Linked DNA regions of Drosophila melanogaster. The protein of the gene in region 1 purifies or fractionates together with the protein of each later gene. This does not show direct contact. Each region holds a gene or a part of one and is shown in the gene's direction. Other genes may lie near its edges. The genes, in order: mei-S332 and Pp2A-29B.

The links.
Region 2: the proteins of mei-S332 (region 1) and Pp2A-29B purify together in Drosophila melanogaster (affinity purification with mass spectrometry, with the first as the bait; 2 studies listed by BioGRID). This does not show direct contact.

What each region holds. Positions count from the first base shown.
Region 1 is NT_033778.4:22,120,309-22,125,169, forward strand, and holds mei-S332 (meiotic from via salaria 332), read left to right. Parts: upstream 1-1,792; 5' UTR 1,793-1,892; exon of another isoform or gene 1,893-2,254; intron 2,255-2,594; 5' UTR 2,595-2,689; coding exon 2,690-3,166; intron 3,167-3,227; coding exon 3,228-3,956; 3' UTR 3,957-4,059; downstream 4,060-4,861. Other genes in the region: GM130 (golgi matrix protein 130 kD), read right to left, coding at 4,452-4,861. UniProt on the Drosophila melanogaster protein: Plays a central role in chromosome cohesion during meiosis and mitosis by preventing premature dissociation of cohesin complex from centromeres after prophase, when most of cohesin complex dissociates from chromosomes arms.
Region 2 is NT_033779.5:8,364,327-8,370,693, forward strand, and holds Pp2A-29B (protein phosphatase 2A at 29B), read left to right. Parts: upstream 1-1,711; 5' UTR 1,712-1,984; coding exon 1,985-2,068; intron 2,069-2,769; coding exon 2,770-2,923; intron 2,924-2,985; coding exon 2,986-3,404; intron 3,405-3,470; coding exon 3,471-3,545; intron 3,546-3,604; coding exon 3,605-4,370; intron 4,371-4,431; coding exon 4,432-4,704; intron 4,705-4,896; coding exon 4,897-5,078; 3' UTR 5,079-5,234; intron 5,235-5,389; coding exon of another isoform or gene 5,390-5,394; 3' UTR 5,395-5,764; downstream 5,765-6,367. Other genes in the region: RpS13 (ribosomal protein S13), read right to left, coding at 215-237; CSN8 (COP9 signalosome subunit 8), read left to right, coding at 597-653, 714-778, 827-1,002, 1,063-1,313. UniProt on the Drosophila melanogaster protein: The PR65 subunit of protein phosphatase 2A serves as a scaffolding molecule to coordinate the assembly of the catalytic subunit and a variable regulatory B subunit.

The sequences.
Region 1 (4,861 bases):
GCACACAAGGCCGACAAGTGCCCACTCCCCGTGGCCATAAAACCCCATATCCACACCCCGTGCCCCACACACCTTCACCTCCACCCTCCCTTCAATCACCAGTCTTTGCGTGTGTCACTGCAGCAGCACTCGATATTTCTGTGTGTACTTGCAGTGGGGCATGCACAACAGCCTCGACAATAGACCGGCAGCAGGCAGACTCCTGGACGGGATGCCATGGAATGGGACGTTGGGATGGGTCGGTGCCATGTGCCCACCGCTGCCATGGCCTACGCCACGCCAATGACATTGAACCCGGCGACTGGGACGACCCTTTGTGCCATGCATAGCATTACGGAAAGGAGCTCGAAGCCCATTCACACTTGTGGATGGTTTAAAGAGCGCACTAAATTGGCCACGAGGGTTATTTTCGGTACAGAGAAAAGAAATTACTTATAACAACTTCTATAGTCTTGTATTTCAATGTTTTGATATCTGTTTTCCACCATCGCAGAGTAGTAAAGCATTTTAGAAATGAGAATATAAACAAGACGTTCCTCGACTATCAGATATTCGTTGCTCAGCTAATGGGAGTGCTGGACAACTGGAACCCGGACACCGGTACCACGACACCAGAAGTTGCACGCTTAAGCTAAAACTTGTGACTAACTCTACAAGTAATAAATCTAATGTAAAGATTGCGATTGTATGCCTCTTCAAATGGCTATAGTAAGAGCCCAGATTATGTCATACCATCGAAGTTCAACCGCCACAATTCGCACTCACATCGCTGAAGGGAGCCAAGCGAATGAATCAACCCCTAGTCAGCGAATTTAGTTTTCGTCGGCCGTCGAGCAATGCACTCTTTGTAGGTCAGTTATGGGGTGGCATGGGTGGCCACATGCTCCATGGGTCTTCGCTGGTGTTGCAACACTTGGTGTCGTCATGCGTCGCGTGCCCGGGCGTTTTGCTTAATGTGATTAAGACAAAGCGACAACAAACCAAAACAAAGTGCATTCGCTGACGGAACAGGAGAAAATCAAAGCGACCCGAGTTTATTGCACCCCTTTTAGCCGGTTAGACGGTGGAAAAGGCTTTTCGTGTTCTCCGACACAGGAAAAAATAAATTTCATGCAAGCTCAAATATTAAATCAAATCGGGCAAGACATGGACTGTCGGCTATACTTAGAATATATGCAAATAATGGTGATTAATCTGGAATATGGACATATGAATAAATATTATAAAAAGTCTAAATACAGCTGCCTACTAACGCTGGTATGTGTTTGTTTATTGTGTACCTCGAGGCTATAAGATATAGCCCCATATCTTGGAAAATGCAATTTTACATACACACAACCATTAGTCGCAAATATCGTGGCGAAATTGTCGGAGGGCGCGATAAGATAATTGCCTACATGGAACTGGTACCGAAGAGGTTCCTGAACTTGCCATAAATTACCAAATTTCTGGGCACCGTGCGAAATAGAATTGATAAGGTCGCTCGATAAGTCCGTACCACTTCGGATTCTGAGTGCTGAGTGATGCACTCAATCGACTAAATGGGTACAAAGCCAAACGAGTTGGATTTACAAACAGACTCACCTTGAAGCGGGTTTCGGTTTTCGACTGCGGTCGTAGCTTCTGTGAATGAAATTCTCGGTTCTCTGGGCTGCTGGCTGTCTTCGGTGTTTCAGCAGGTGATTGTCGTGATTCTCTGGCGGAGATGAAACAGCATAGCAAGCGGTTCCCTAATGTATTTTTCCGAAACTATGGTGTATAATCCGTATCCGTGTTCCTAAGTTAAGTTAATCCGCGCGCTAGATCCGTCTATCGTTTTTCGAGTGCACAGGTGTTGCATGTGATGTGTATCGTGTCCTGTGAGTGCGGGGGGAAAGTCCCTCCCACTGTTGGTAAGAATTGTAGAAATGTGTAAAAGCCTGGCTAAATGCCTAAAAGACGTACAACGACGATACAAATCCGACTGATTTTCATTTTTACACAAACACACGCACACTGCGACAGCACACTCTCACTCACGTACACGCACGCACACACTGCCAGGTGGGCTGACTTCTGATTCAGTGCGATTTTCGCGTTCTGCAAGGTGTATCTACAACCTCCCGAAACGCGTATTCACTTCGATTTCCGGGTTCTAGCGCTGCAGCATTGTTTATCTACCACGGATATCCAGATTTTCTTCGCAATCGGTCGAGAAAACAATAAATTTATTGTGCAGCTTAGAGGTGTAAGAGAAACATAGACGTATCGATGTCTCTCGATGGTTTGTGCCTATCGAAATCGGTGTCCCGCAATATACACAGCTTCCACTAAGCGAAATTTTAGCATTTTGGCATACGTGTAGAATTTAAATGGAAAATTACCCTTGGTAACGCATGTACGATCAAATTCGCACCAACTCAACGGTTCCTAATTCTTGTCGTGCAAATGAGACAAACAAATTTATAATTATTAAAATAAAATATATTCACATCGGATTGTATTGTTTCTTATATATATGGCCCAAAATTAAAGAATTTCATTTTAATTAAGAGCATGGTCGGCGTTGCCATACTTTCAAAAAGTTTTCCTTAAGCTGGGGTATATTCCAATAGCACAACAACGGTCACTCTATTTCAAAATTCAAAACAAGCTATTGGCGTCGTCTGTCTGGATTTTGTGTATGGAATAAGTAGATCAGAAGAAGCAAATGGGATCCAAAGTGGAGCAGCAGTACAAGCTGCTGAATGCGGAGCTAATGGACCAAGTGCAGAAGCAGCGCTTGGAGATCGGCGAGTACAGGAAGCGGGTGATATCTTTGGAGCGAGAGATCATGGACATTCGGGAGGAGCACGTCCTGCAAAACCATCGCCAGCGCATGGAGAACATCAGTATCGTACGCAGCCTGATGCTGAGCCTGAACGTGGACTCCGATTCCCTGGCAGTGCGTCAGGAGCCCGCTCCCGCAGCTCAGATAAACAGACCAAGCGGCCCGCGTCGCAGCTCCAGGGAAATCTGCAAGGACATGCGACGGACGTGTGCGTTGGCCCGCACCACCAGACCAATCTCGCCAAGAAGATCTTCCTCAGTGACCAGTACTGTATCGTCCACTAGTCGCCGCTCCAGCGCAGAAGTGCAGTCCGAGGTGGTGACCACTAGGATACCAGAGGATAGAAGAGCCAACAAGGTAACTTATACTTAAATTTGATTATGCTTTTCTTAACGATTCATTATCGGCTTGAGTACAGCCTACACCACCGCCACGAAGACCAGCGGAATTAGTGTTTGATGAGGACGACTCGGACGATGATTTCGACGAAGCAGTAAGCCCCGTGGAGGAGACACAGACTGAGCAAAATGAAGAGAACAATCGTCTGTTTAGCATTATAGAGGAAAATGGCAGTGAAGGGGAGTCCACAGACTCGTCATCATCATGCGAGGCCATCTATTGCGACACAACGTTTGAAAGTAGTCCGCCAAACGCCCAAGTCACCGTCACGCCCAGTGGACGGGCTCTGCGGGAAGTGGACACCAATATCCCTGTAGCAGTGTCCCTCAGTCGGGGAAAAGAGACTGGGAAGGGATCATGGTTGGCTATTTCCGTAGCTGTGGAAGATTCTCCACAGGAGCCAAGCATACAGTGCCCACGACTGGCAGTCACCAGGCCTAGTCAATCGTCTGGAATATTTCCTGATGTCAACGGATTAACGCCGCGAAGAAGCCTGTTCAATGGGATAGGCAAAATGGCCGGAAGCACCAGCACTCCGAAATCCTTTCTCGTCGAGGAAATGCCATCTATAAGAACTAGAAGCCGAACTGCGGCTAATAAGAAATCAGAAAATACGGATATGTCTAGTTCTTTCTGCAACAACAGCGCAAGGCCGAGTAGAAGCTGCAGGCCCACCAGTTTGGTGGAGCCAAGTCTGAAGAACAAGTTGCGCAATGGCTCGAAAGGCAAGGCCAAGGCCAAAAAGTAGATAGACGAATTTTTTAATAGGCTTTAATGTTGTTTCTGTAATTTCATTGGTTTTCAATACCACTTTTTACCATTTTTAATATGAATAATATTTTTAAATCGTCAGGCCCTGATAAGTTTAATTTATAGACTAAAAGCTGACATCGGATTACTTTTTGCCTGCAATAGAGGGCATATTCAGTTCATCCAGCGCTATCGGAAGGAAGACACTCCATCATCATCATCACCCAAAGATGCCAATAGGAATTTAAAAGTACGTCTAATTTTTACATGTTCATTTGTGAATAAAACAACGTTTCAATTAATTATTTGTTAATACGCTTTTAGGGGAACTCATTTTATAGATTCCTCTTAGATGCAAACTACGTTTATTCGCACAAAGTTGTTGGAAACATTTACAAAAGACTCTGAAGAACAAAGTACAATTACAATTACAATTAAATACAGTAGCAAAAGGGTAATGATTATACGTAGGTAGGCGATAATTGCACTTCTTTTAGACTACCTCGAACTTGCCCATACAACAGTTGAGATGGTCTCCTGCATGGTTGTGGCTTGGCTGCTCCGTGTTCTCCTTGATCTCGCTGATAATGTCCTGTATCTTGTTGATGATCTGTTGCGAGTTTTCACCTTCGCCAGGAGTGTGTTCGCTACCTGCGGCCGCTTCTGGTTGCTTTGCCTGGGCGGCATCTGCGGGTAGCTCCACGCCCAAACTGACCACCAGCTTGTTTAGTGCCTCAATCTTCTCGCGCAGCTGCTCTCGCTCCGCTTGCAAGAGACGCATTTGGGCGGCCTTCTCGTACTCACGCTGCTTTAGCATGCGCCTCTGCGTTTGATAGAGGGCAATGTACTCGCCAATCGTTTCGGTTTCGCTCTGCAGCTGGAGCACCAGATGCTCCAGGCTGT
Region 2 (6,367 bases), on another chromosome or scaffold:
ATACACAAATGTTAGTACGCGTTTATGGCGGCGCCTGTCAAATGCGAATACGTCTGCACCATGTGCTTGCCTTTGCGGTCGATAATTAACACACTAAAACCACCGTAGAAACGCATTAAACACATTCATTCGTTCAACCCGCACGGCAGACACATTTTGCATGCATTCAGCTTGGCACACAGGCATCGAAAACAATGAAAAATTTCATTTTTACCCAGGAGCGTGCATACGACCCATCTTGATAGTCTAGTTTTTGACACCGAAAAGAAGGTGGAGACTTTTGGCACGTTGACAGCTCTACGATGTGGAGACCTGTCAAAGCAGCTATCGATAACGGGATGCTTAGCGATATTTTTTTTAATGCGCTTACAATATGTTGTGATATTCAAAACTTTACTTTAAGTGACTATTACAGGATTTATTAAAGGGAAATAGAAAGCTAATTTGTGTAAAAATAATTCATTTAGCTATCGATATATGTATACTATTGTCAGCTAGACTCTACACAAGCACAGGAGTGCTTTGGGAAGGTTTCATTTCTTGCAGCACGCTAAACGGTCACATTATTGTTTCCCGACCAAGAATTTACCAATAAAATGCATTTAAATAAATATAGTGAAGTAGTGGAGCGGCTTGAGAACGAGGAATTTGAGGTGAGTGATCGTTTAATATATTCACTACAGATGGAATTCTAGAAAACCATACTTTTACAGCAAGTCGAACTGGGAGCTGAAGTCTACCAGCAATTACTTGCTATTTACCTCTATCAAAACAAACTGTAAGTGATTGATATAAAAGAAATACATATTTTAATCTTGTGCTACAGGGCTGATGCCAAGTTGTTGTGGATGAGAGTTCCAGCTAACCTAAGGGATGACAAGGAACTGATCCAGCTGAACCTGCTCAATATTGCCCTGCAGAACAATAACTATGCCGATTTCTTCAAACACATCAAGTATGAGTGGTCGGAAAGAGTAAAGTCACCTGTGGAGGATCTTCTAAGTATGGCTATGCCTAAAAGCTTACTAATTGGATATAAAAACTTATAATGTATCTACTTAGATAAGCAACGCGAAGAGCTGTTCAAACTAATGGGCAGCGCATATATGTCCATTTACCAGCACAATCTACTGGAATTGTCACTAATGTCGGAGGACGAACTGAAACACGCCTGTGCGGCCTTAAATTGGACTGAGGAACTGGACGGTGACCGGGTAATCCTGAAGCCCAAGGTTCAGGAAGCACCGCCAGCTCGTGGAAACGATGACCAGTTGCTTAAGTTGACCGAGTTTGTAACCTTCCTAGAGAATTAAGCCTCAATAAATTTCAATACATTTAATTGGATTTTTGTATACATTTGAAGAAAAGTTATGGTCACACAGCCTGTGTCAATCTAAAAAACACTCGATTAATATCGTTATTAGACATATTTATAAATATTAGCTAAATCACCGAATTGGCGCCATTGGGTTTTGTACGAATTAGCTTTTGGAAGTATACCTAAAAATTAGGAACTAGAAACTAAGGCTACAGAATTATAATTTTCCATGTAATCTATGTAGATATATAATCATATTCTTGGCCTAATTTAATAAGTGTGATTTTAATATTCTTCAGAATTCAGTTAAATAAAATATATTTCAGAAAATCTATCGACGCGCGGAAACGCCGATAGTATCGAATGATAACCGATATGCGTTCCACCTCTACCGTTGTGTCACTTGAAGAAAAAAAATATTAATTTGCACCAACGACGTACGTTTTTCGTTCGAAAAGAACAGCAATCAGCGGATAATTGTATGGATTCTTAGAAAATTTGCAGCGACGAAATATAGTACCTTGCGAAATTATTTTGTAACCTTGAAGAAGTAAACTGCGAATCGCCAGAGGGCCAAATAGAAATCTCGTCGTTTGCCTGCAGAATAGAAGACCCGATTTTCAGTGCGCTTGTGTTTGTGTGTGAGCAGCAGAAACAGCAGAAAAAATGGCAGCAAGCGACAAATCGGTCGACGATTCACTATATCCCATTGCGGTTCTAATCGATGAACTGAAAAACGAGGACGTTCAGGTTTGTCATGTCCTAAAACCTGAAATCCAATTGTATCTCGCGAAGAATGTGCAGAAATATTCTAGTGATTAAATTTTGGGGTAGCGTGCCCACACTCCCTGCTTTATCTGCGATTGTATTTGTGCAAAAATGCGTCACGGTGTGTGTGTGCGTGTGTGCATGGGCATTTGTGTTGGTGCGAGTGTGTGCATCGAAATTATACCGAATTTCGATATACACAAGATTAGCGTTTTGCGAAAAAAATTACTATTATCAATTAATTGCAATTATGGGTATACGTCTTTATCCGCTTTTTATTTGTAGATTTTGTTATCCTTCATTTATGTATGTATAAGTATAAGTTTTTACGCATTTGCTATTTGCAAAAACAATTTACAACTGCGCGTGTTAAAAATAGATCAACTTCAATCAATAGTAATACCATAACTGATTTTAAAATGAGATAGTAAGATGAAATATTTTCGTTACATCGAATAATCTAATCACTTATCTTATCTAAAAAAGATATCTTAAGTAAATATATATGCTACGTTTTTTTTTGAAAATAAAATGTAGGGTACAGGTTGACCACCGCTTTTGTAAAAAAAAACCAATAGCCCTATCAATAATAACCTCAAAATCGTAGAATTAGTTACCACTTATCCTAAATTTGAATACCCTATTAAAATAATCATCTTTAATATTTTCCCTTACCAAAACAGCTTCGGTTGAACTCCATCAAGAAACTGTCCACCATTGCACTCGCTTTGGGCGAGGAGCGCACACGGTCCGAGTTGATTCCCTTCCTCACCGAGACCATATACGATGAGGACGAGGTACTGCTGGCCCTGGCCGACCAACTGGGCAACTTTACTAGTGAGCAAAGATATAATTTCTAATGAAAACATTTCCAACCATGTTCCGCCGTTACTTTCCAGGTCTCGTTGGTGGGCCAGAGTTTGCCATGTACTTGATTCCGCCCCTCGAGAGTTTGGCCACCGTAGAGGAAACCGTGGTGCGAGACAAGGCTGTGGAATCTCTACGCACCGTGGCCGCTGAGCACAGCGCCCAGGATTTGGAGATCCATGTGGTGCCGACACTGCAGCGATTGGTTTCCGGTGACTGGTTCACCTCACGCACCTCTGCCTGCGGCCTCTTCTCGGTCTGCTATCCACGCGTCACACAGCCAGTGAAGGCCGAGCTGCGCGCCAACTTCCGAAAGCTCTGCCAGGATGAGACACCCATGGTGCGCCGTGCAGCGGCCAACAAGCTGGGCGAGTTTGCCAAGGTCGTTGAGACGGAGTATCTGAAGTCCGATTTGATTCCCAACTTTGTCCAGCTGGCACAGGATGATCAGGTAAGCACCTGATTAAGACCAATTTAACAACACTCCAAAATATCAATCCTTATCCTTAATTTCCAGGACTCTGTCCGTCTGCTGGCTGTAGAGGCATGCGTAAGCATTGCCCAGCTGCTGCCTCAGGATGATGTAGAGCACGTAAGTTGATCAGCGCTGAAATTGTTAATACCTGTTGGCTTACAAAAAATATTCCATAGCTGGTTCTGCCCACGCTGCGCCAGTGCGCCAGCGACTCTTCCTGGAGGGTGCGTTACATGGTGGCCGAGAAGTTTGTTGATCTGCAAAAGGCTGTGGGCCCAGAGATTACTAGGGTGGACTTGGTGCCTGCCTTCCAGTACTTGCTCAAGGATGCCGAGGCCGAGGTTCGCGCTGCAGTGGCCACCAAGGTGAAGGACTTCTGCGCCAATCTGGACAAGGTCAACCAGGTGCAAATCATCCTTAGTTCCATTTTGCCCTATGTCCGCGATCTTGTCTCGGACCCCAATCCTCATGTGAAGTCAGCTCTGGCCTCAGTGATCATGGGCTTGAGTCCCATGCTGGGCGCCTATCAGACTGTGGAGCAATTGCTCCCCCTGTTCCTTATTCAACTCAAGGATGAGTGCCCAGAAGTGCGCCTAAACATCATCTCAAACCTGGATTGCGTTAACGACGTCATCGGTATCCAGCAACTGTCACAGTCGCTTCTGCCCGCCATCGTCGAGCTGGCCGAGGACTCCAAGTGGCGTGTGCGTCTAGCCATCATCGAGTACATGCCTGCTCTGGCCGGTCAGTTGGGTCAGGAATTCTTTGACCAAAAACTGCGCGGTCTCTGCATGGGATGGCTCAACGATCACGTGTACGCCATTCGTGAGGCAGCCACCCTCAACATGAAGAAGCTCGTCGAGCAGTTCGGAGCTCCCTGGGCCGAACAGGCCATAATTCCAATGATTCTGGTTATGTCGCGCAACAAGAACTATTTGCACAGTAAGTTATCGAATTGAAATTGTAATGATCAATATATGCTTATGGTTCTTATGATTTTTAGGAATGACTTGCTTGTTCTGCCTGAATGTTTTGGCAGAGGTCTGCGGCACAGATATCACCACCAAGTTGCTGCTGCCCACAGTTCTCCTGCTTGCCGCTGATCCCGTTGCCAATGTTCGTTTCAACGTGGCAAAGACCCTGCAGAAGATCTCGCCCTTCCTGGAGGCCAGCGTCATTGATGCCCAAGTAAAGCCCACACTCGACAAACTGAACACAGACACAGATGTGGATGTCAAGCATTTTGCTGCACAGGCCATTGCCGGCATAGCTGCAGGTAAGCAATAAACAGTCTAATATAAACAAGGTTAGCGTTTGACAGGGATAGAAAGGGTCTAACTTATAGAACAATATATAACATTATTCATTATCACAAGTTTTAAGGCATGCAGGGAATCTGAGAGTTACACAAATTCATAAATTGTCAGTTAGTAGTAAGACTTTAATTTTAATTAAAATCCTGCCATAGAAATGGAACTGAATGTGTTTAGAACGGCAATACCGCCGTGCATGGGCGCCAAAATTGAGGCGGCAATGGACTCAAAGCTGATAGTGGAACCGCCCCGACAGCCGGAGGCAGCTGACAATGACATTTTGCAGGAGATGAATGGCAAGGCAGCGGAGCCGCCCACGCTTGACTCGGAATGTTAGAGGATGAGTAGCCAACCACATGACGTGTGATGTGCCTCCCGCTGTCTCCAGCCAGTTCCACAAGCCAATGTGTTTAATCCTCCCCGTCATAATCGTATTCACATTTGATTGTTTGTTTGTTCAAGATAACCAGGCTAGATGTCCGATCTGATTAAAGTGCGAGTGCAGTGGATCAAATATTTAACCGATACTAATGTTGTGCCATATTTTTTTGTCTCTTTCCCGGTATCATCGCCATCACCACGTGGTTATCTCACCATTCCCCACTCTGTGTTCGTCTGCAATAATGTGTTTTGTATATTTGTTTATAGCGTAATCAACCTTCTTGCATCTTTTTTTATTCTATTTTTAAAACTGTATGTATTTAACGCCGGCAACAAAACATATTATGTAGCAACAACACTTAAGAACGGAAAATTGTAGTGGATCCCGGAAGGTGTTAAACGCTGCAGCCGATGCTGGATGAGGGATGAATGGAGCCAGGAGTCAGAGGAAGGAGAGAATCGGAGAATCAGCATGGGAGGAGACCCACTAAACGCGACACACAACTAAACATTACTACTTACATACTTATATTATATATAAATTACCATAGGCATAACGATCATTATTAAAAACATTTGTAGAGTTTGGAACATTTGATCGCATCTGAATGCAAAAATAAAATTGTAGTGAAACAATATCACACGATCTATTGAAAAGTTTAATGTGGAGCAAAATTGAATATTTAACTCCCAAAATTGTATACCAATTTCTAGGTTTCAGTTGTCAGTTCAAAGTTTGGAAATGTAATATTTTCCTTTTTATAGTTTCGTTCAAATTAAGCTTTATATACATTCTGATTATTTGGCAGGTGCATTGATTATTTATAATTTGTGAGAGGTATGGCTATGAAAAGCATAGATTATACAAACAAAATACTTGTATTTTTACATTTTAAAAATACTGTTAATTTATTTTGAAATCCTAAAATCATTCCAGCAGTAAACGATTTTGATAGCAAGCTAGACTGATATCGATAGGCGCCAAACAGACACCTGGCGATAGTTGGGGCTTCTTTTTGGTTTTTTAATTGGATGATGGTGGTGGTGGTGGTGGTGGTGGCGAGCAGTTTCTAGCGAGAGATCAGTTGGACTTTTGCGACGAAGCGATACGCTTGTTTGTTTTGCCGTTCCGCTGCGCGTTGGCCAATGTTTGCCTAACTCTCGAATCGAATTCCGAAACCGAGTGTGGACGCGTAAGTGCCATTGAATTATTCCGTCTGACGCTCGAGCGCCATCGAATCGGAT